Arabidopsis thaliana: one gene and its partners. The protein of the gene in region 2 interacts with the protein of the main gene of each other region in a pairwise test. Each region holds a gene or a part of one and is shown on either strand. Other genes may lie near its edges.

What was found.
Region 1: the proteins of MLO2 (region 2) and AT2G26730 interact in a protein complementation assay, tested with the Arabidopsis thaliana proteins (one large-scale study listed by BioGRID).
Region 3: the proteins of MLO2 (region 2) and RPK2 interact in a protein complementation assay, tested with the Arabidopsis thaliana proteins (one large-scale study listed by BioGRID).
Region 4: the proteins of MLO2 (region 2) and FEI1 interact in a protein complementation assay, tested with the Arabidopsis thaliana proteins (one large-scale study listed by BioGRID).

The regions. Positions count from the first base shown.
Region 1 is NC_003071.7:11,386,733-11,392,209, reverse strand, and holds AT2G26730 (Leucine-rich repeat protein kinase family protein), read right to left. Parts: upstream 3,913-5,477; 5' UTR 3,590-3,912; coding exon 2,281-3,589; intron 1,592-2,280; coding exon 924-1,591; 3' UTR 528-923; downstream 1-527.
Region 2 is NC_003070.9:3,799,992-3,805,843, forward strand, and holds MLO2 (Seven transmembrane MLO family protein), read right to left. Parts: upstream 4,243-5,852; 5' UTR 3,880-4,242; coding exon 3,757-3,879; intron 3,705-3,756; exon of another isoform or gene 3,569-3,704; coding exon 3,511-3,568; intron 3,396-3,510; coding exon 3,130-3,395; intron 3,037-3,129; coding exon 2,920-3,036; intron 2,827-2,919; coding exon 2,766-2,826; intron 2,696-2,765; coding exon 2,532-2,695; intron 2,449-2,531; coding exon 2,354-2,448; intron 2,268-2,353; coding exon 2,218-2,267; intron 2,132-2,217; coding exon 2,091-2,131; intron 2,012-2,090; coding exon 1,838-2,011; intron 1,748-1,837; coding exon 1,712-1,747; intron 1,627-1,711; coding exon 1,559-1,626; coding exon of another isoform or gene 1,555-1,558; exon of another isoform or gene 1,470-1,554; coding exon 1,409-1,469; intron 1,316-1,408; coding exon 908-1,315; 3' UTR 729-907; downstream 1-728. Other genes in the region: AT1G11303 (G-type lectin S-receptor-like Serine/Threonine-kinase), read left to right, coding at 1-126, 211-340, 420-728.
Region 3 is NC_003074.8:378,805-385,102, reverse strand, and holds RPK2 (receptor-like protein kinase 2), read right to left. Parts: upstream 4,754-6,298; 5' UTR 4,378-4,753; coding exon 922-4,377; 3' UTR 521-921; downstream 1-520. Other genes in the region: AT3G02125 (pinin-like protein), read right to left, coding at 5,721-6,009, 6,120-6,298.
Region 4 is NC_003070.9:11,247,651-11,254,435, reverse strand, and holds FEI1 (Leucine-rich repeat protein kinase family protein), read right to left. Parts: upstream 4,819-6,785; 5' UTR 4,077-4,818; coding exon 3,977-4,076; intron 3,887-3,976; coding exon 3,751-3,886; intron 3,676-3,750; coding exon 3,604-3,675; intron 3,527-3,603; coding exon 3,455-3,526; intron 3,356-3,454; coding exon 3,284-3,355; intron 2,990-3,283; coding exon 2,918-2,989; intron 2,835-2,917; coding exon 2,763-2,834; intron 2,536-2,762; coding exon 2,447-2,535; intron 2,354-2,446; coding exon 2,195-2,353; intron 2,089-2,194; coding exon 1,756-2,088; intron 1,681-1,755; coding exon 1,432-1,680; intron 1,356-1,431; coding exon 1,222-1,355; intron 1,139-1,221; coding exon 920-1,138; 3' UTR 521-919; downstream 1-520. Other genes in the region: AT1G31430 (Pentatricopeptide repeat (PPR-like) superfamily protein), read left to right, coding at 1-411; AT1G31410 (putrescine-binding periplasmic protein-like protein), read left to right, coding at 5,091-5,352, 5,433-5,572, 5,668-5,916, 6,080-6,214, 6,303-6,485, 6,621-6,782.

The DNA of each region.
Region 1 (5,477 bases), on a different chromosome or scaffold from region 2:
AATTCACTATACTAAAATTCAATTAATTTGTAAATTTGTTATATTTTGGTTACATTTTACTAGTTATATGTGTGCGTTTTTTTGGAAGCATTTGTTACGAAATCTTTGAGCATTTTTGTGATATTTTTTGCATCTTTATTTAATAATCCAAATGCAGACCACCAACTAAATATGAAAGTTTTATAATTATTAACAGCTTAATGTTTGAAATAATCATATTCATAATGACTTACTAGCAAGCTTTCAAAAGTGGAAACTGTTTTTGGCTTTGGTCTTGTATCTAATTGCAAATGTAAAAAACTCACTTTCAATTGGAAAATATTGTATGATGAAAAGTAGCAAATCTAATCTAATGACTCATATGACTGATTAGTCGCTTGATATGTTCAAATAAGACGACCCGGATCTCTTTCTTTCTATTTCTACTACTATATGACACATATATATACTTCCTACATGCAAGTTATTATTTTTAAATCATTTTACGTCGATAATAATGTAAACTAATAAAGTAACATCTGTTTTAGTTTTTGGTAAAAAAAAAAAGATCATCTATTCAAACAGCTGAAGAATTAGTGACTATGCATAAAACCCAAAAGAGTGAGTTTCTTGGAAGTGTTTTAGACTGAATTTTGATTTAAACCTGTAAATTGTAAACACCAAATACAAATAAAAGAAAAAATAATAACCACTAGAATATCTCGAAGACTGAAAAAAAAATAGATGGGAGATGCCATCTTGTAGAAGTTGGTCCAAATGCAGAGATGGTCCAGTCTTTTTTGCTTTACCTTCACACCTAACAAAGACCTCACACACTTATCTCATCCCTTTCTTTATCTCCTTTTGAGGAGAAAAAAAAAAAGGTGAACACAAACAAGAAAAACTTTAAAGCTGCTTTCTTCTTAATCAATTCCATTCATTTGCTAAGGTGTGACTGATCGTGGTGGCGTCCTTGATTCTCCTGGAGGAGTCTGACCTTCTGATCCCTTTGACGGGTCATCAGACGATTGTCTTAACCCGTCATCGGTTGTCTCACTTCTGTTGACATCTTCGATCATTCTTAGTACTTCTTGCATTACTGGTCGTTGATCAGGAACCGTTGATACACAAGCCATTGCGATTTGAAGAAGCTGAACCATCTCTTCCTCTATGTTGTGGTACCTCATCAGCTCAACGTCAAATACTTCAGCAGTCCATTCTTCTCGAACCACGGAGAGTACCCACCGAGGTAGATCAATACCTTCTTCCCCAAGTGATGCCTGGTTTGGTGATTTTCCTGTTAACAGTTCAAGAAGCAACACCCCGAAACTGTACACATCCGATTTAAAAGTTACTTTCCGTGTCTCGAGAACTTCAGGAGCATGATAACCCGCCAAACGGTTTGGTGGACTCGAGTTACTGAACAGTTGATTCAGTCCATAATCAGAGACGCAAGTGTCTTGGTTTGGGTGTAGGAGGATGTTTGAAGCTTTAATGTTTCCATGTACCAATTTGGCTGAAACGTGAAGATGCGCCAAACCTCTCGCTGCAGTTATCGCTATTCTCATACGGTTATCCCAATCTAACGGAGTTCGCCCTGATCCACGGCTCCCTAAAACAAACACAAACCTATTAGCCAGATATTGCAAGTTAACTTCAAAATGTAAACACAGTTTCAAAAGACCAAAATGTTCATAGTACTAGCTTAACATTATAATTCCCATCATAACTTAGGTTAAAGCTTTAAATTGTAAATACATTTTCAGTAAATTAAAATATTCATATTCTAAAGGTTCTTTAGTTCCATCACTCATTTAGACAAAAGTTTACTTCAAGGAAAAGAGTTTAAGATATGATGATGAGAAAAGCCCATGTGGAAGAGTCTTTTTCTTTTCCTTTATTCCAATCTTTAAAGAGTGAGAGAGAAGCAAAATTATGAAATAAATTATTATGACACTAACCAGACAGACACATAACAATGTCGGCAACACACTTTTCTCTTTTAATAATTGCATAACAACTCCAGCTATAACTACCACAATTCAACAAAAATAAAATATCTAAAGAATGTGATGCAGTCTAATAAGAATGTTTTTCTTGCCAGCAAAGCAAAATCACACAAGTATCCATTAGAAAAATATTATCAAATCATCACTCCCTAATCTCACTAAGGTTCCAAATCTTAACCATAACCATAACCATAAGAACTCAAAACCTAACCAAGATTCTACACAATGTATCTAACTAATAGTGTAGTAACAATGAAATTGAGCAAAATTGAGTAAGATAATAGATGCTAACCGTGGAGAAGAGCAGATAAGCTTCCGGTAGGCATGAAATCGAAAACGAGAAGTTTCTCATCTTTAGAGTAGTAATAAGCTCTTAATGGAATAACATTTGGATGTTTGATTTTACCAACAACTTCCATTTGTGTTTCGAACTCTTTCTTAGACGCCATTACATCTTTAAGCCGCTTAACAACAACCGTGGTACCTTCCTCTAACACCGCCTTATACGATGTTCCAACACTTCCTTTACCTAAAACCTCAGCAGAAGCTCTAAGCAAATCTTCCAAATCAAAACTATACACTCCTCCTTCAGTGAAAACAAGCTTATTCCTCTCTGTTTCACCTCCCATACCCGATGATGTCCCCGTTACTTCCTCTTTCGAGGACGAAGCACCCGGTGGAAGATCCACATTCCTTGTAGCTACTCCCGCCGGTTTCGGCTGCTTCGTCCTCGCCTCATTACTTCCTCTTCTTTTTCTTAAACACAAGAACAAAAGCAGAGCTAGCAAAAGAAGCGCAACGAGCGCGCTAGCGACGATTATCGCGACAATCGCAGCTTTCGAAAGCTTTGATTTCTTGCTGGATAAACGATTAGAAGGATTAATCAACGACGGAGACGGCGAGGGAGACACAAAAAACGATTTACAAGGCTTTAACGGACCACCACAGAGATCTACATTTCCAGTAAACGATTCAGCTGAGAATCTTGATAATGAAGACGGAATCGAACCGTTTAGATTGTTGTTAGAGACATTGAAATCGACTAAACCGAGACTAATACTAGGAAGATTCCCTGAGAAACCATTGTTACCGAGAAACAAACCAGTCAAGTGAGTGAGATTATTGACTGAGAAAGGTATCGAACCAGTGAAGTTGTTAGATGAGATATCAAGACGAATCAAGTTGTTTAACTGAGTAAAACTCGTCGGAAACTCGCCGGAGAATTCGTTGTGTTGAAGATATAAGCTTCGCAGATGAGTAAGATTTGAGAAATCTGAAGGGATCTGACCAGAGAGACGATTAGAACGAAGACTGAGAACTCGGAGCTCAGTGAGTCGACCTAAGGAGCCTGATGGGATCTGACCGACTAAACCGGTTCCTGGTAACCGGAGAGAGTGGATTGAAGATTGGTTTGAGTTGCATTCGACTCCGACCCAGTTACAAGCTGAGTCTGACTCGTTCCATTGAAGACGATTCTCGTGAGGTATTTGTTGAAGGAAAGTGAGGAGTGCTTGTTTTTCTGCGGTTGATTCCGAGTTGACTCGCTGAGTCAGTAGCAATATCGAGAATAGAGAATTCAAAACCCATGAAATTGACGCCATATTTGGGGGGGTTTTTTTTTTTGGAGAAAGAGAAAAAAAAAACGAAGCTTTTTTGCTTCTTTCTAGTTTTGTCTGTTTTATTACAAGAAGTGGGTTTGCTGAAAACCAGAAGTGGTTTTCCGACAAGAACCCATTTTTGGTTTTTCTGAACTTGGAGAGAGAAGTGTGTGTGTGTGAGTCAATGTGTGTGGAGGTGTGGGATCGTGAAGTCTTTAATGAAGGAGAAGGAGAACGAACGAATCAAATCTATCACGAGGGACAAATATGTTAAACCAAAATATTATTTTTCTTTTATTGGCTCAGACAAAAATATACTATTAAAAGTAAAGTTTCTTTCTTTTTTTCTTTTTTCCATGAAAAAAGCTATTAATATTTCTTTTTCCACATTAAAGCTATTAATACGTAGCTGGAAACAATTGAATTTTCATGCTTTGATGATATTTGTTGAATTTAAAGTTTGATTATTATCTTCGAAGAGACAGTACATTTGAATAGATATCCAAATTAATTTATTTTATTATTTAAATTGCTACTGAATTATGGCATTAGGATTTAAGTAATTGAAATTGACATAATAAAATCCAGCTGACGCAAAAAATAATTACATATGTTTAGCGTATTGATCTTTAATTACGATTACCTAAACCATTTAACCTCTTGGATAACTATAAGAAAATAAACATTTATGGTGTATTCTCCACATATTTGAACAAAATGCTATTTCCTAAACCTAAATCATCCACATTTGTTATATCATAATTTCCTATCTTTGTTTTTTTTACTTGCTCTCCACAATATTCTGAAATAACCTTAACCATAAACATAGATTAAATATCAATCTTTACAAGACTTTTAGAGACTCATCAAGCAAATATTTATCTGGTGGGCTTTGCAAACTTCCGCCCAATAAGGTGTTCAAAGCCCAGTTACAAAAGTTTTGACCCAAGCCTTATTCAGCAAATATTCAGGTCAGGCCTAAACTCTTCCCTACCCAATTTTAGACAATCGTTGTATTGTTTCATGAAACCAATTGAACAAATACATCAATTGGGACATAATGCACTATGTTTCTTGTTGGGTATAAGAATTTTTTGAGAACCATGCCATTAGTTACAACTAGGGATATGATTCATGATACCGAAAGTTTGACCAAACTAAATTACATACGATTTCTATATGAAGATGCAGAGTGAATCAATCAGCTGATGGTGATCAGATCGTTGATGGATTTCAGGACGCTGCATCAGGTTTCATCAGACGCTTGATGTGCAGACATGGATGCGAGAGCAAACGTGGCAAGCTAAGGCGAATGATGTGAAGAGCCAAGGATGGAAGTTAACTTGGAGAGGTGTCAAAGACAAGGTTCATCGAGAAAATATAGAAGATATTATATCGAAGAATAAAGAAAGGAATAGGCTTGGAAACAAGGAAGATTCCATATCAAGAGATTCTCGGAGATCCTAAGGTTAGGGTTCTGGGGAATTGATATAAATATTCTAGAGCAGAGGGTGAGCCGCTTTGAGCACTCTGGGATATTTTTCGATACTAAGTAAAAACTTCAAAGCCGTGCAAAAGCTTGAAGGTGAGTGTGTAGTTCTCTTCGTCTTCACGGGTTAGTGATAAAAAACAGAGAAGAGAATTAGAGCTTAGTTATTCTTAGTCGGGGTTGATCTTTTGGGTAGATTAGATCAAGTAAGAACTGAGATAATACTTGTAACAAAAGTTTATTATCAATAAGAATAAGTCTTTTAAACAGCTCTTTGTGTTGTGGTAGTCTCTATACCTTTTACTATATGGTTTCAGTTTTTGTAAAACCAAAAAACCATAAAATCTGAACCAACCCTAAACCAAAAAACAGTTTGCCTACCCGTAGGTTACTTATTATTAT
Region 2 (5,852 bases):
AGATCTGAAAGCAAGCAACATCTTGCTAGATGAGAATCTGATTCCGAAAATATCTGATTTTGGGTTGGCCAGGATATTCCCGGGGAATGAAGATGAAGCAAACACCAGAAGGGTCGTTGGAACATAGTATGTAACTCCATTCAACCATATGTTTACATCTTTTTTTTCCATTAAGAGTCCTAAAACCGAGAAAATAAATGTATCGTGCAGTGGCTATATGGCACCTGAATATGCAATGGGAGGACTGTTTTCAGAGAAATCTGATGTTTTCAGCTTAGGAGTGATACTCTTAGAGATTATCAGTGGAAGAAGAAACTCACATTCAACTCTTTTGGCTCATGTGAGTCTACTTTAACTCGTAAAGTTTCTTAACTCTCTTGAGATTGTCATCAAGCCATCAAAGCTTCTATGTTTCATAGGTGTGGTCAATCTGGAACGAAGGGGAGATTAATGGTATGGTAGATCCTGAGATTTTTGACCAACTTTTTGAGAAAGAAATACGAAAATGCGTTCACATTGCGCTTTTGTGTGTGCAAGACGCTGCTAATGATAGGCCAAGTGTTTCTACAGTGTGTATGATGCTTAGCAGTGAGGTTGCAGACATTCCAGAACCGAAACAGCCTGCTTTTATGCCTAGAAACGTTGGTTTAGAAGCTGAGTTCTCTGAGAGCATTGCTCTTAAAGCCTCTATCAACAATGTCACCATCACTGATGTCTCAGGACGTTAAAACCTGCAGAAATACAAATGTATGTGTAATTCGTGAAACTCTTAAGCATTGCCAGAGAATAACATATCATGTATCCATATAGATATGGTTATTTCTTATCCAACTAGTAATGTACAAGAAATTATTTTCATATGACAAATTTCCCACTGTACGAAATCAAATATAGCAAACAAGAATCATCATTTCTTAAAAGAAAAATCTCTTAAGCTTTTGCTAGTCCTTATAGGAGGAAGTTCCACAGATGCAAGAACAGGTTCTGAGCTTTCATGCGCAAGAGAATGATGTGTGGAAGTTTCAGCTTCTTGGTGTTGAGACTCAGGATCCCAAAATTGGTGTTCATGATGACCATGACCAGAGTATCTAGGAGAAGGAGAACTTGGGTAATTTTCAACGCTCCGGTTATTGAAATTGTGAAGGAGATGGATTGGAGATGAGCCATGTGTTGGTGTGGTTGGACGGCTAGAGAAAGGTGTGTTGGATCCCGAGTGTCTTCCGTGTTTCGTCTCGTTCTTTGCAGTGTGATGCCACTTCTTTAATGCCGTGGCTACTCTATCGTTGAATACTGTTGGCTTCATTTTACTACCCATCTGCACACAATTTTCATTCAACACAATGTAAAAAAAACTAAAGATCATATAACCAAAATCTGGCATCCATGTAACACTAATGTTTTCTAGTACCTGAGTAACAAGTGCATAGAGTGGAAGAGTCACATAGCTGCAAAGTATCTGCACAACAGCTCTGCAAGATTTATAAAAAGGGGGATTATACTTTTTCAGTTAAAGGACAAATTCTCAGAAGAATCAATAGTCAAGATAATGTTAGCTTACCCAACTACAAGTCTAATGACCACATCTGCAGTGCTTTCATGGAAACAATTATTGAGATTGAATTCATACTGCAAATACAGAAAATTTATGACATAACAATTAGTATAGCCCGTAACAGCGATGTTTTCAAAGAAAATGAAATGGCTCGCTTACCGTACTCCAGGCAAAGAATGCAAGTTGAAATGCATTCTGCAAAGATAAGAAAATTTATTCTACCGTTAGGAGAAAAAACCCGAAAAAGATCGAAAAAACGAGCGGTGAAGGATACAAGTATTGTACCGTAAAAAGGACCAAGTGAATAAGGAAAAGAATGAAGCGTGGCTTGCCAAACCAGAAGAGGTCATCACCAGGCTGAACCACTGGGGCGCCTCTCACCACATCACCTTTCTCTTGGATTCTTAGACCCAATTTTGTTATTATGACTTCAAGCTTTGTTCCAACTATTAGAATTACCTGCAGTTATATATTTTCACTCTGTTACAAAACTGGCGGCAAAAAGACAAAATCGGTTCAAGAGTTTGTTTGTACTTACGACTAGTGGAATGAATGGTAACCAGAGGTAAGAACGTAATCCTGTTTCAAAAGAAAACCGATGTCACTTTTGTGCGACTATTGATGCAGCTAAAATGTAGTTTTTGCGAGTAAGCAATGAACGTTACCATATGAATTGGTCAAGAGGAATAGCACAGCGACAAACCAGATAACCGGACTGCATAAAGTTGGCAGAGATTTAAGATAAAATATCCAAATTGGCTTTGCTCAGACTTTATAAAGCAATCATTATTAGATCCAAACCTGATTTCAACAACGGTTTTGAAGTCTTTCTCTAATGATCTCTGAATATACTTGCGGAAATCGAATCTTGATTCGTTACCGGGAGCAAAATGCGCCTGAAATATGTAGAATGTTAGATCATTGTCTTTGAGAGATACATGTTATAATGAACAATAGATAAAAAGAATAAATTCCATACCATGATGAAACCATGTCTTAGTGCTAAGTAATCAACTTTGGTGACAGATCCAAAGAACTGTCTAAAAAAACAAACAATCCATAGTGTGACTCTCGTCTTGCTCCAGAAATTGAGATGTCTTCTCCCAAAAGATGTGTCCCTCGCAAACCTGAACCTCTCAGGATCTGCATAACAAGACTAATTCATTCCCATTCAGGTCTTTAAGTTTCGTCGAATACTCACATATTTACATACCGTTGGAATACTGATACTCTATTGTCTTTGTCTCTTCCTCCCACGACTTCCACGTCCTCATCTGCAATACTCAAGAAAACAAGTATAAAAATCTTTTGCATACACTCTTTTTCTCGCCTTAACAACTGCGTAAGTCACAAGAAATGTTAGTTACCTTGATCTTTCCGAAAGCATAAGTAACAATGCAGTAAACAACATGAACAACCGCGAGCACGAAGATGAATATATGCAGCTGGTGGATTCCATAAGCAGATACAAAAGCCACTTTCCCCTGAGTAAATCCATCAATAGAAATCAAAATTCCATCGGTTTAACAAGCAGAGAATGATTTTTATATAGAGAGAGAAGGGAGATTATTAGTTACCTTCTCTGCACATTTGTCATAGCCTTTGGTGGCTAAACTTCTTCTATGGATATAAGATTCAGCTAACTCAAGAAGAAGTCTTCGACCGGGTTTATCTCCATCTCCATCATCTTTCTTTCCGGCGTCTTTCTTGCCGTATTTTTTAGCTTCTTCAGCAGCACTGCAAGGGTGCATTGTTGACGCAACTTTCTGGGAGATGCAGATATTTGAGATTGGTGTTTGTCCAATTGTGAGTAGTAGTGATATGAATCCCAACAGCATAAGCTCTGAATGAAGTTACGTAGAAAACAAAATCAGGAGCTTGTTAATGGATGAAGTTAAGTAGAAAAAGATAAGAAGCTTGTTGATAATGGATCAAGTTAAGTAGAAAAAGATAGTTACCTGCTTTGACCTTTTCAAGAGCTTCAAAAAGAGCCTGCTTGTGCTTCTTTTTAAACCACTGTTTAAGGCACAAAAAAAGGAATGATCAGATATTTTCGTTATTCTCACAGATTTAGTAGTGTTGATAGTGATAGGAGAAGAACTAAACAAATCCAAAAAAACAGAGCAGTAATTAAAGAAACAGAGCAGAAAGCAGAGCAAGAAACAGGGGAATCTTGAAATAAGGAGAAATATAAAGAGACTTACGGTTCCAATTTTGTGAATAGAATGTTCGAGGACAATCGAAATAAAGAGTAAGACAAAGCAAACAACAGCAACTGCCCACGTAGAGGTCTCCTCTAAAGTCCGCTCTTTTACTTGATCTGCCATTAGAGCTTAATCCTAAGAAAAAACCCCAAATAAGATTCTTCTAATTCCAGACCAGAGATCTTGTCTTTTTATATATAAATATAGAAACACACGAAGAGAAAGAGAGACACAGTCAGAGTTTCGTGTTCTTCTTTTGATCTAACTTCTCTCTATATTGAATTAGTACGCTACGCAATTTTGAATCTGGTCATAATATAGAGCAGACGAAAGAGGGAAGAAGAAGAAGAAGATAAGACCCGCAACGAGAGACTGTAAACTAAAGAAGGCGTTATTCGAGAAAGCTTCAACGTTTTGACTTTTCTTGTTGTTCCTCTCATGTGACGAGTGACGACGACTCCTCAATTATCAGCATAACCATTATTCTTTTTGGTCTACTTTATTTTGCTTTTTATTGGGTCAATCATCGGTGTTTTGTTTCTATTTTAAATCTATAACATTTTGGTTTCAGCTCGTTAGATTTTCAGAATAAAATAAAGCAAATTTTGAATTTTTTGATTCATTAGTCGTTTATTTTTGTTGGTATAATACTCCCATTTTGTGTACTTTGGAAGCCACTAGAGATTGTATAAGTATAAATAAGAATAACATTACTATAATGGGATCTTTCGTTGGAAAGTTCGTCATTTTGTTTTGTCTATTCCCAACTTGTTTGTTATATCTAAATAATATGCTCGTAGATACCAAGATTCAAGATATAACCATGCTCCTTTTTTTAATTTAAATTTTTACCAAAATGTAAATTTTCTATATATAAAAAAAGATATATTAATTGCTACTTGAAATTTATACAAGAAATTTCACCCATAATTGCTACTTGAAATTTGAAAATGATATTTTCCACCACCACCAATGACTGATTAAAAAATAAACTGATTTCTAACACACCTTACCACCCAAAACCTAATAAAAACTTTAAACTGTACCTCTATTTCTAACACACCCAATTAAAAGTGACTGATAAGTTGTCAAAACATTATTTTGAAAGATACATTGATGATGTGATTGTTTTTTTCTACAAAAATTTCAGTTTCGAAGTTTACCCATTAACGTGTTTTTTTTTTTTTGTTTTTTTTTTCTTGTTAATATCCTATATTTTATTAAATTTTCTTACTATCAACTGTACAAAAGTTTTATCATCCATTATACTATCTATAATGGAATTGTAATTTTATTACACTTAGATGTAACTAGAATTGTAAATATATTATTGTAGCAAACATTTGACTATTAAATTAATTACGTAACCTGGTTTTTATTTTGCCTTTTAATGAAATTATAAAAATTGTATAGTTTGAAAAATATGATACTATGACTATTTCTTATATCTTAAAATATTATTGTCAGATAAAAGAGTTTGGGATTTTTTGATAAGTTGTACTCTACAAAATATTCGAAAACAGCCTGTACAGTTGAACAGAGGCATGCAGCAATGATTAATAATTAATAGTTAGATAATTAGAATGTTAAGTGGAAAATTGTTGTATTTAGCTGACTTTCCAGTTTCCAATAGCCATCGCCCATCGAATGTTTATTTAATCAACATTCTTTAAAATAATGAGAGTGTTTTGCTTACTTGGCACGTGATTAAAGACTACTGACAGAAAAAAACAAGATTAAACATCTAACAGAAATAACATCTTTAAACTATGATTGCAAGTAGATATATATATATATATATATATATATATATATCAGAATAGTTGAAGAAATTACTGAAGAATCAATCAATATACACAAACAAAATTATAGTTTTTCTCCTTCGACAATATACGTTTAGAATTTAAACTAAACGAGATCCATATATACATTTTTTTTAATTTATATTTACTTTGATTGCATATGAGATTGATTGTACATGTACATATATGTTTATGATTATTAGTTAAAACTGATCGTGCATGTACATATATAAACTATGGAGAGTGGATTATAAGATTGTAAAAACTCAAATCTTTCTCTATAATATTTAACAC
Region 3 (6,298 bases), on a different chromosome or scaffold from region 2:
AACCATGGTAAGAGAACTAAGTTTTCTCTCTAAGTCTAATTGTGGATCGTCAGGACTGCTTTGTAACTAATGCGATAAGTGAGCCAAGAAGGGGGCTATATATGATTGATAACGGTGATCTTTCGTAACACACTAATGGCTATAAGCTCTAATTTCCATTCTTCAAATGAAACCGTTAGCCTCAACGAACGGATGTTTCACAAATGTTGAGCCAATGGATGGATATACTCGTCTTTATTATCGAGCAATACGCTTGGCGTTAACTATTCATGGAAGTAGCATGTAGTAGCGAGAGTCGCTCTATTTGATACTAGATACATAGAAGAACCTTTCACATCGCTGTCTTTCAAGAAGGATGAAGATGCCAACTCAACCAAAGCAAGCCAGACCACTACCGAAGAAGATCGACAATCATGAATCAAGACCCAATGATGTACCATTCAAACCCAAATGGGTGGAATTGCTTTCTTATGGGGATTATACTGATAGCATTGTCGGTCTTCTAAGTTAATATTGGGCTCATAGCCCGAGTTTTTTTATTCGCATATATTATTGGGCCCATAGCCCAAGTTTCTCAAAATGGAAATGTCAATCAAACAAAAAGGATCGGCAGTTTAAACATACTAAAAATCGAAAAAGAAAGAAAAACTCCCACAAAACTTTAGTATAAAACAATTTACAAGTGGGAGAAACAAATTAGCTACAAACAATTCTTTCTCATTTTATGGTTTTCTGCTTACTGAGAGAGATCAACCTTCCTATGGCTTCCCCTTTCAAATGTCCTTTTTACCCTCGAGAGAACCCATAGGAAATTCAACCTCTCTTTCTTCTTCTAACAACTACTACGTACACATACAAGTTTACAACTGAGAGAACTTTTTTTAAAGAAAGAATAATAATCAAATCCTGCGGAGGGAGGTGCTAACACGACGGAGGTTGTAGCTGCTTCAACCGTCTTACAACTTGCTTCATCGTCGGCCTCGTCGACAGAGAATCCACCGTACAAACAACCGCTAAATGCAGAACCTCTACTAGATCATCATGCGGACCTGCGTCCCACAATCCCGCTGTGAAAAACTCCTTTGCCCTTCCTTGTCTCAACAACATACAAGCCCATTGCACTATGTTGAAACCATTACCATACGACACAAATGACGGATCAAGTGCTTTCTTGTCCGAAAGCAGCTCTAGAAGCACCACTCCGTAGCTGTATACATCTGCTTTGTCTGATACCCTGCATGTCATTGCGTACTCGGGAGCTACATACCCAAACGTACCCGCCACACCAGTTGTTGCGTGCGTTTCCGATGTCCCAAGCAATCTCGCTAACCCGAAATCTGATAAATACGCATTGCAGTCATCATCTAGGAGGATGTTACTCGGTTTAACATCTCGGTGAAGCACCCGTGGGACGCATTGGTCGTGGAGGTAAGCGAGTGCTCGAGCTATGTCCAGAGCGATCTTATGAAGAACTCTCCAATCTCTTGTGGATCTTTCTTGGATGAATTTCTCGAGGTTGCCTCCTGGGAGATAGTTGTACACCAAGAACATCTCAGTTTCGCTAGCGTGGTAACCGATGAGAGTCACGAGGTTCGGGTGTCGAAGTCTACCAAGAGTTTTGATTTCTGCGTGGAACTGTTGGACTCCCTGAAACCGTCCGATCGAGAGGCGTTTGATTGCGACAACCACATCTTGAGAGATTTCTGCTTTGTAGGTCGCTCCAAATCCACCATTTCCAATCAGATTGCTTGCGTTGAAGTTTCCTGTGGCTCTAACCACGTTGTCAAAGGTTATTGGAACTCCGATATCCATGAACATAGTGACTTCTCGTTTTGTAGTGGCCATGATCTTCGATTTCGGATGCCATTTCCTTGTGTAGAAGAAGAGAATTACAAGAGCAATTAGTACCGAGACAATCGCTGAAGCTGATGCGATTGAGGCGATCTCTAGCGAGTTGAATCCACCCTTTCCTGGCGACTGAGATGGAGCGTTTTCAACAGGCGAAGATGCGTAATCCTGCGTGATAGAATCACCCGTGGAGTCTCGGGAATCCGAAGACGGTGTTGTCAGAGAAAACACATGGCAAGGTCGAAGATAGGGGTTTCCACTAACAGTGCTGCATTTCGTCAGTCCATTGGTTGAAGGAACTGGACCAGACAGATTGTTGGAGGAAACATTGAAAACAGCAAATGTCGCAAAACCCGACGGGATTGGGCCAGAGAGGTTGTTATTGTTGAGAAGCAGGACAGTGAGATTCTTCAAGTTTACGAAATCATGAGGAATACCGCCAGATAGATGATTTGAAGAGAGATCAAGAACATCCAAGGAATGTAACTGACCAAAGCTCTGAGGAATTTGCCCCGTGAGGTTGTTATTCGCAATCGAAAGATATGTCAAAGCTGCCATCTTCTTCCCGAGGCTACCCGGTATCTGACCTTGCAACTGATTCCAGCTCAGATTAAGAGCAACAAGTGAAGCTAGATCCCCGAGACTTGTTGGGATTGGCCCGAAGATCTGATTCACCGAGGCATCAAGAATCTTAAGAGAAGTGCACATGTTGTTTAGTCCCTGAGGAATCCGACCTGAGAGCTTGTTGAAGCTTACATTGACATAAACAGCTTTGAGTTCGTCGCAGTTATCAAACAGATTTCCCGGAAATTGCCCGTACAACCGATTCCCTCCAGCAGAAAATATGTAAGAGACTCGCTTTCCCAACCGCTCCTGTGCAAGTGGTATAGACTTGAGAGTACCAGTGAAGTTGTTGTCTGCAAAATTATGAAACACGGCCGGACCTCCATCACTTCCAAGATCTATCAGGGAAGTTCCAACTTGAGCCTTCTCGGTAAAGAAGGAGAGATAAACAGACGACGGGTCGCTGTAAGATTCAATAGAAAACCTGTCAAAGTAAACAACAGGAGGACAATGGCTTGTGGTATTGTTGAGAAAATCAGGGATTACACCCGATAAGCTGTTTCCACCAACATCAAAAACACTCATGCATGGGACCGAAATCTCTTTGAGAAGCTCCCCAGTAAGCCTATTCGAGCTCAAATCAAGAAGACGAAGGTTCTTGCATTTACTAAGACCGACAGGAATTTCGCCTTTAAAGAAGTTCTGACCCAAATTAACCATCTCCAAGTTTTGACATGAACCCCAATCTCCTGGAAATCTACCTTCTAACGTAGCTCTGGGCACCCAAAGTATCTTTAGTTTCGGAAGCCTAGTGATTTCCTCCGGGATTCCTCCTTGATAGAAATTGAAATCCTCGGTCATCGAGGTTAAATCAGCGCCTGGAGGAAGATCAGCTTCCCCTCTTACACTATTAATGTCTTCATACACATTGTACAGATTTGATAGAACGAGAACAGACAACGAAGAGCAATTTCCAAGTTCAACAGGTAATGGACCACTAAGAGTGTTCCTAGAAACATCCAAAACCTCAAGCTTCTGAAGACTCCCAAATTCTAAAGGGATAGTCTCCTCCAACGTATTCATATACAACAACAACGACCTTAAACCAGCACATTTCCCCAAACTCTCTGGAATCCTCCCAGTCAAGAAATTACCAGACAAATCTAAATGCTCAAGCTTTCCACAGCTATCCCCAATATCTTTAGGCAAAGAGCCTTGAAGCCAGTTTAACGGCAAATGCAACACTCTGAATCTCCCAACAAAACCAGGAACAGTTCCATTCAACTTATTACCACCCAAATTCAAAATCTCCAACTTTGTCAGATTCTGCAGCGAATTAGGGATTTCACCTGAAACTCTGTTAAACCCCAAATTCATAACCCGCAAATTCCGTAACCCAGTAAACTGATCCGGCAATGACCCCGTCATCAAATTCCCTTCCAGATCAAGAACTTCAAGCTTCTCCATTCCCCAGATTCCTACAGGAATCTCTCCACTAAACGAATTAAAAGGCAGAGACAAAACCCTAAGTCCTGTGAGACTCATGATTACAGAAGGCAAATTCCCCGCCAAAGCTCCATGATTTCCGGTACAATCCCTCCGAACACCAAACCCATACAACGGAAACTTACCAATATCACCACAAGTGAAACGATTTCGACTAATTTCAGAACTTCCAGAGCCACTAATGTTAAGAGCCATGACTCGAGAGCTCGAATCGCAAGATACACCAAACCAGGAGCAGTAATCTTCACTCTCTTCGACCCAGCTAGCTAGAATCGAACCAGGGTCCGATACCGTTTTCTTAAACCGAAGCAACACGGATTTGTCCGAATCAGCTAAAACAGTGATTTTTCCGGCGAGACAGGAGGCGAAACAGAGTAAGCAGAGCGAGAAGACAACGTCTGAAGGCATCTGTCTGCGGAAAAAACGCCATTTGATCACTGAAGAAGGCAAAGAAGTCATCTTCGTAACTTATCCCCAAAAATGTTTTTACAACAAAACCCTAAACCCACCTCGCAAGGTCTGCTAATATAGCAATTGACGAGCAAAAGATCCTTCCTTTTACCGTGCGAAACAATCCCAAGCTCGACCCTTTAACCCTAATTTAGGGAGATGATGAGAAGCTTTGTAGTGAGAGAAACTGATGAAGCAGAGAGAGAAAGAGATGAGAGAATTCAACACTGTCACTGAGGAAGACGCGTTTTTTTCTTCTCTCTCTCTTTTTTTTTTTTTTTGATAAAAGATCTTAAAAATGTTTTTAATTTAATTTATGCAGAAAAAAATAAAAAATCGTTCTGTGAATGAGAGAGTGGGTCCACTTTCCTTATTTCCTATTGGCTAACAAACTCTTTAGTGTAATTTTAACTTGGAAGAAGCAATTTTTGATTATTTATCGATCATGTAGTGAAGTTAACATTAAAAGTTTTTAACATCGATCATTGTAGTCTCACCACATCAAATCGCAATAGGTACATGATTGATAACAGTAGGTAGATGCAAGATTATCTTATCACTAAATTTGAGGACAGATTATTTTAAATTTTTTGTTTATTCGAAGTGATGAAATAAAATATGTTGAGTCACAATAAATGTAACAATATTTCAACTCTCCTAGACGTATCAATCTCTCATCGACCAATGTTATGCTAAGATCTTGAAGCTAACATTTATTACAGATAGATATATGTATATGGACATGCATTATATTAGGAAAATTTCATAATCTCACGCTAAAAGAAAAATCGCCTGCCACTATACATAAATGCATGTGACAAAGATGTGTTTCTTTATAACAAAAATATTGAGAAATTGTAAAGTGAAAAAGGGACAGAATCGCCTCTTTTCAAGGATATAACTAAAGGAAGCTTCAAGATAAAGCAAATTAAAATGTTTTTTCTTAAATATAAATTTATAATTTTGTCATGTACACAACACATTAGCCACATTTATGGGGATAAAAAGACTGAGTTTATAACCTTTTCAATTAGAAGAAAAAAAGGTTTGTTTTTCTTTTAGTGAAATATATCTGTCTTTTAGCTACTACTTATAATAATGATACGTATTGAAATAAAGTAATAATGAAATGTGGTCCTTGTATGTATGCATCACCATGACATAAGAGTTATATCATCCATCAACCGGTTTACAACATCCGGTAACCGAAATTAATCGAACCAAAATATGGTGTTAATCCTGAAAACCAGAACTCGGTTTGGATCATCACTCTTGGTTTACAACTATTTTCATCCGTACAATTTACACATAAGAAGAGGAATCGCTTCAAACGCAAACGCTAAAAGTCTCCTCTACTTGAATGAACCGCATTTTGAAGGACAATGGAAGCAAGAGAACCAGCAGGTTCTTGAAGCTTTTAGCGATTGCGTTCGAGACTCGAATTTTTTTGATGCCTTCCTTTGTGGTTGTGGTTCCGGCTGAGACTCAGTTAGCATATTAGATTCTGAATAAGGTTGTAGTTGTTGTTGTGGCTGTAGCATTCGCGATTGAGGCAGCTGATACTCGGGTCTTCGCTTGTGGGAAACGTTTCCTTTGATTTGCATAGACGGCGTTTTGGTAACTGCATCTTCTTTTTGCAATCTGTTACATAAATTCCAAAGAAAGTAAAATTAGGGTTTTAAAGTTTCTTCTTGCTCAAGAAATCATCAAAAATGGATCGATAAATTGAGATTTTGAAGAGAACGACTTACAGTGGGAATGCGAAAGAACCAATGCTGTTATTGCTAGTGTCCGAACGACAAGAAATGCTCGGAGAATGTGAAACTATACTGTTCGAGTCTTCAGGTTTATTCTCCTTCACAGTTTCTATTACTTCTTTCTCTACTAAAGCCTCCGCTTCGATCATATCTGTTTGTTCTTCTTCATGTTC
Region 4 (6,785 bases), 7.4 Mb from region 2:
GCAGAGGAATTGATAGATAAGATGCGTGGTGAAAGCGATGAAACTCTAGTTCCTGTATACTGTTCTTTACTTAGTGCTGCTAGGAACTATGGGAATGTAAAAATAGCAGAACGGGTAGCGGAAAAGCTTGAGAAAGTGGAAGTAAGTGATTCCAGTGCTCATACTCTGCTTGCAAGTGTATATGCATCTGCTAATAGATGGGAAGATGTAACTAATGTGAGAAGGAAAATGAAAGATTTGGGAATCAGAAAGTTTCCTGGTTGCAGCTCCATCGAGATTGATGGGGTTGGTCATGAGTTTATTGTTGGAGATGATCTATTATCACACCCAAAAATGGATGAGATCAACTCAATGCTGCATCAAACGACAAATTTGATGTTGGATTTGGAACATAAAGAAATTGATAGCTGAAACTTTCTTGTACATTCTCTAACTACTTCCCTTATCATTAACATTTGTTTCCCTGCTAATGAACCGGTTTTGAATCGATGTTGGTTTTGAATCGATATCAGCTTCTCTGTAACTGAATCAGGATTGATTGAGACTGAAGAAGAAGAAGATGAAGGAACATGGATTATTTCAAAAGAACATAAAGGCAGAGAGTAGTTTTTCTACAAAGGTCACAACTATACAATTCAATTTCATGTTCAAATAAAAGTTTTTATACCAAAAATCAGAACAAAAAGAGAAAGGGCTGAAAATGAATGGCTCGAATCTGGTAAAACTGGAGGGGCAAAGTAAATGGCAACACAACACAAAGACTCTGTTCCATTAACTGGAAAATTATGGCTCTTCGTTGGTATTTGCAGGTTTTCTCGGGGAGCAAAAACGGAAATCGAATAGCATTTGAAGGCTTTCCCCGGGAAACCGGACTCGGTTTACTTTTTTTCTCGAGGTTTCGACTGGTGGGTTTATGCAATTAATCAGAGCTGGAATCATAAAATTCGCTGGGACAAGGAGTCATGACCTCTGATTCAAGTAACTGGACAACCCGATGCATCGTTGGACGCTCTTCTGGACTCGGAGACACACACTGTGTTGCTATTGATAGTAGAGCGTCAAGGCTCTCCATCTGCATTCCTTCACAGTTTGGATCAACAATATCCCTTGGCCGTTTTTCGCTGATTAAGAACTTTAGCTGTAAATCATGAGTCAAAAGCTTTTTTAGTCAAGTTTGTCGTAACAAAATATCAGTATTGAAAAAGAATCTTATTTGCATACCCAACCAACAACGTTAAGGCCTTTCTCGATGAAGGAAGCATCGGTTGGTCTTTTCCCACTCAAGACTTCAAGAACCAAAACCCCAAAACTGTATACATCGGTTTTCTCAGTTGCTCTACCACTTTGCATATATTCTGTCAAATGGAAAAGTCTCAGCATTTGAAAGATCAAATCTTTATGTAAGTAAAGACTTTTAAAAGGCATATGTACCTGGAGCTAGGTACCCAAATGTGCCTGCAACAATGGTTGTGATATGAGATTCTTCGTCTTCCAACAACTTGGCTAGACCAAAATCCGATACCCGTGCCTCGAGATTGCCATCAAGCAAAATGTTGCTCGACTTTATATCACGATGTATAATCCGAGGAGAACAATCATGATGCAAATATGATAACCCTTTCGCAGCTCCTATGATGATATTTACGCGTGAATCCCAGTCCAATTGCTCGCCTCTCTCTACTAATTCAAGAACCAAACTTCTCAGTGAATCATTCATAATATGGAAGAGAGCCATAAAGAGCAGATTGATCATACCATGAAGTGCTTCATCAAGGCTACCACCGGGCAAGTAATCATATAACAGTAGCTTTGATGTTGGTGAATTGCAATATCCACGTAGATTCACGAGGTATCGGTGTTTGATGCTCCCAAGAATCTCAAGCTCCCGCTCAAAAAACCGATCAAACCCTTCGTTTAACTTTAGAATTCTCTTCAATGCAAAGACTTTGCCATCATCCATGGCCAGCTTATACACCGTTCCAAAGCCTCCACATCCAATTATGTGCTCTTCATTCAACATTTCCAGCTTCTTAATGATATCTTTGGAAGAGTAAGGTAAATCTCCGTGGAACATCACAATAGACGCACCTGAATTGAAAAAGTCACAATGAAGATTTAGGAGATAGAGAAAAATATGAAATTTCCCAATATTTAACGAGATAATATCTGTACAAAAAAAATCAATACGGCTCACCTCCACCAACATCCTTTGCAAGGCTTTTAATCTCGACTTTACCGAGCTTTTTATATAGAAAGCATCCCCAGAAACACATGAGTGCAACTAGGAGTAGCGCACCTACAGTTGCTGATGCGCTAATCAGCAGCTTACCAGAGTTTTTCTTTTGATTTTGACCTATAAAGTATAAGACACCAAATAAATATAACTTTACTGATAGAGAGCCACAACAAAACCTGTATATCACAAGAAATTCATAATTGCTTTTACCTGATTGAGAATGTGATGAAGGGTTTCCACTATCATCTTGGCACACGACATCAACATGCTTTCCACACAAGTTAAGATTTCCAATGAAGCTGTAGTAGTAACGCATCAGTTTGAGAATCATATAATTTCAGTCGCACTGATACAATCTAGCTAAATAGTTATGTGGTTCAAAAAATCATCTCGAATATAAGCGAAATATGAAAGATCAGCTGTATAAATGTAACTTTAGAGGATTGACAAAAAAAAAAAAAAAATGTAACTTTAGAGGCTTTATTTTTCTATCCCTACAAGAAGAAAAGGGTGTTTATTGTCTTACGAGTTCTTAGAAAATCCAGAGAGCACTCCGTCTGAAGGTATTTGCCCCACCAGGAAGTTGTTCGAGACATTGCTTCATAAGACAAACGAAACAGAAAGATTCACAGGACTGCAATATGATAAATTACAGCGGAAGTTAGAGATTAAGGTGCTCACAAGTTACTAAGCTTTTTTAACTGCCCAAGCGAAGCAGGGATAGGTCCACTGAGAGTGTTGCTTGACATGTCCCTTGAAAATAAAATAAAAAAGTCAAAAGTCAGTTTTAGTAGAGAAAAGAGAACAATCAATATGTGAATCTGAAGTAAACAATACATTATCATGCTTTTCAAATTGCTCACCAAGAGTTTAGGTATAACTAGTTCTGAATATAATGTGCATGAGAAGACATTATGCAGTCAACCATATGTTACCATGATCCTAGATGGTGATAGAAGTAAATGAAAACAAAAAACAAATAGATATTGCATACACTAAAAGAAGGATGCACTTGCAAGTACGTATAGGGAAGAGAAAAAAACATACAGCTTTTGAAGGCCAGGCAGGTCTCCCATTTCAGCTGGGATTGGTCCAGTGAAGTAGTTACTCTGCAAGTGACTGCAAAACCAGTTGGACAATTTTGATGACCATAAGCAACTGGAATTGGTCTCTCAGAAACCATGTGGAATCAGTATAAAATCCTGGAAAAGCGCTTACATTTCCTCCAATGCTGTGCAATTTCCCAATGCTGTAGGTATTGCTCCATATAAAGCATTGTTGTGAAGCATTCTGCAATGACACACAGATGATCAGAATCGAAGTACTCTCTTAAGCAATAAAAATGAATAAGGCTAGAGAGCACATACAAAAGCCTTAAATGGTCCAACTTTCCAATATCAGGAGGTAAAGGTCCCATTATTTTGTGATAAGTAAGATTCCTGCGAAACAAGAGTATTAGGGAGCACAAATACTGAAGAGAAAACCAGTAAACCTTGACAAGTTTGAAAACTTACAAGGTTATAACTCTTTTCGTTTTTGCATCACATGTCACTCCGTTCCAGTTACATGGATCTGGATCTTCCGGTCTCCACTGATGGATGAAACTATCTGATCTAGTAACTGCATTTCTGAAGCTCAGAAGCGCCTCGCCTGAAGAATGGAAACAAGCAATAAAGGATTAAAGCTCAATAAAAGGTCCAGGACGCTATGAATAGTAATAGTTGATTCATATCGACGTACCGTCAGGACTAATCGCTTGACTTTCATTAGATAGTGAGCAAAGCAACGAGATCAAAAGAAGCCATGAGCAGCAGCTTTTCATCTCACAGATGCCCATCATGGCACTGTCCAAGCATAATATAACTACTACCAATCATTTGAAAAGAACAGCCTCTTGGTTGTCAGTTATTAGTTGATTCCATGTCTATGTTCAAGTAAGAAACTAGACTCCTGAAAAACAAAGGAAAGCCCACAAAACTAATTGTCAATTACACTACACATTAAGCTCAGTCTCCACACAACTTATGCATGCTCTCATCTACATTTTGAGTACTCAAAACAGTGAAATTGCCTCACAAGAACCAATACACACTTTCCAATTGCTAAAATCAGAAAACGAGAGCTAAATTCGGCCAACAATCTCAAAATCATCATCAACAAAAGAGCTCAAAAACAGCTCTAGCTTAACATAGATTACGAAATTCCCAGATACCATCCAATCCTATAACACAATAACAACTGAAGATTCGAACAATATAACAAATCCAAAAAACGATTCAGCAAAAGACCCAAAACCCCACTCTTTCCAACAATATCAAAGGTTATAGCTTTAAAAGCAAACAGAATTAGTAAGAATTATAAGAACCTCTAAAAATGGATCCGAGAGGAGGAAGAATTGAGACAGAGGAAGAAGAAGATGACTAATTTGAGCTGTAAAGCAAAAAAAAAAAAATATAACTTAAGGAGAAGATAAAAAAAACAAAAAAGGAATCGACTTTTTATTTTGTTTGTGTGATTTATGGTAAGAGTGAAGAGAGAGAAAACTAGAGTGAGAGAGAGAGAGTGTGTGAAGAAGAAGAAGATGCTTTCTTCTCCAAAGCATACGACCAATGAGAAGAAACGAAGTGGGTCTCGCACGTGCCGATCTTGACCTCCCACACGTGTCAACCGACGCTTTCTTCATAAAACCCAATTATTATTGCCAGCTAGACCTTAGCTAAGCCTAATCTCTACAATGGTCGAAATCATTGGGCCCATTTTTAAGGCCCATTACGGTATAAGCCCAGCGGTTTGATTGAACCGGTTTGAGATTAGAAGCCATTGTTGTCCGTTGTTTCACCATCGCGTTATATCGATGGCTACGGCGGCGATTATTTCCGTGAAACCGCCGGCGAGCTTCTACTGCGGAGGAAACCGACGCGACGGAGGAAGGGGAATCACCATTGCACGAGTTTCTCGAGACGAACGGTTTCATGAGAGGATCGTTGGTCTCTCTGCCTCGACCGTGTTGTTCATCGGTTTAAGTAGCCTCCGCGTCTGTTCTCCGGCCTCCGCTCGAATACTACCACCGCCGATTGTCGTTACAGAGAATGAAATCAACACAGAAACTGTAGCTGGTGCGTGAAATTGAACATTTTCGTCACTCTTGGGATTTCGATGGATTTGAATTTTGTGTTCCAATGGAATGTTTTTGCAGGTGAAGAGAATCTAAATGAAGTTGAAGATGAAGAAAAACTGGAAGCTGATTTCGAAGCGTACAAGTCTAAAGTGTATTCTCTTACTGTCCCGCTAAAACTCGTTGCCTTGCGTGGCTCAGTGCCACCATCATGGATCAAGGTTTTAGTTTCACTTGTCTGTGTTTCCATTTCTATTTTGAATCTTAAGCTTATAGTTGAAAATGTATGTTGTTGGATTCTGTGAATGGAATTTAGGAGTTTATGAGCTCACAAGGGAAGAGAGTGAGGTTAAAGACTCAGTTTCGAGGAAATCTTGAAGAGATCTTTTTCGATCTATCGAAACCAAGTAAGAATGGAAAAAAGGGGGCTGCTTCAACTGCAGCAGCTGATATGATCAGCATTGGTGATTCTTGGCTTAGTTTTGCTATTAAGGAAAAGCTAATTGAGCCAATGAAAGGGATAGAAGATCAAGACTGGTATAAAGGCTTGAGTGATAAATGGAAGGTGAGAATTTAAATCAGTGGTTTAACAATATGAATATGAGTCTTTTTGAAAGAACACTAGCTTGAGAGATTTTAATAGGCATAATCTTTCATGTGTTTTGTTTTCGTACTCTGCTAGCTTGGGAATGTTCATAGGGTTCATTTCATGACTTAGAAAGTCTCAGATTTATCTCCGCAGGAACTATGCGGGAGAAAAAGCTCCTGACGGTGAAACGTGGGCTGTGCCATACCGCTGGGGCACCATGGTTATAGCATACAAAAAGAGCAAATTTCAGAATTATAAATTGGCACCGATAGAGGTTGGTATACTTTGTTGTTGCTAAATGCTGTCTTAGTGTTTTCCTATTTAAAAGAAGTGAATATCACTGAACATTTTGCTGAATTTAGGACTGGGCTGATCTGTGGCGACCCGAGCTTGCAGGAAGGATCGCAATGGTGAATTCTCCTAGAGAGGTTGTTGGTGCTGTTCTCAAATACATGAGAGCATCATACAATACGACAGACCTGGATTCACAAGTTCCTGGCGGAAGATTAGCAGTGGAGAAAAATCTGGCATCACTCATGAAACAGGTTATTACCTCTTTACTATCTCTCCATACCCTAAAGAGAACAGATGAGTTTAGGCTGACGTGTTTCACTCAACCTCTATAGTTATTGAGAAAAAATGACAATGGTGGCTGATCTTGTTTCCCCTTTTGCTTATAGATTAGACTATTTGATAGTAACAACTATTTAAAAGCTTTCAATGTCGGAGATGTCTGGGTCACTGTTGGTTGGAGCAGCGATGTTATCCCTGTCGCAAAACGTATGTCTAATGTTACAGTGATTGTTCCCAAATCCGGTGCCACCTTATGGGCTGATCTATGGGTA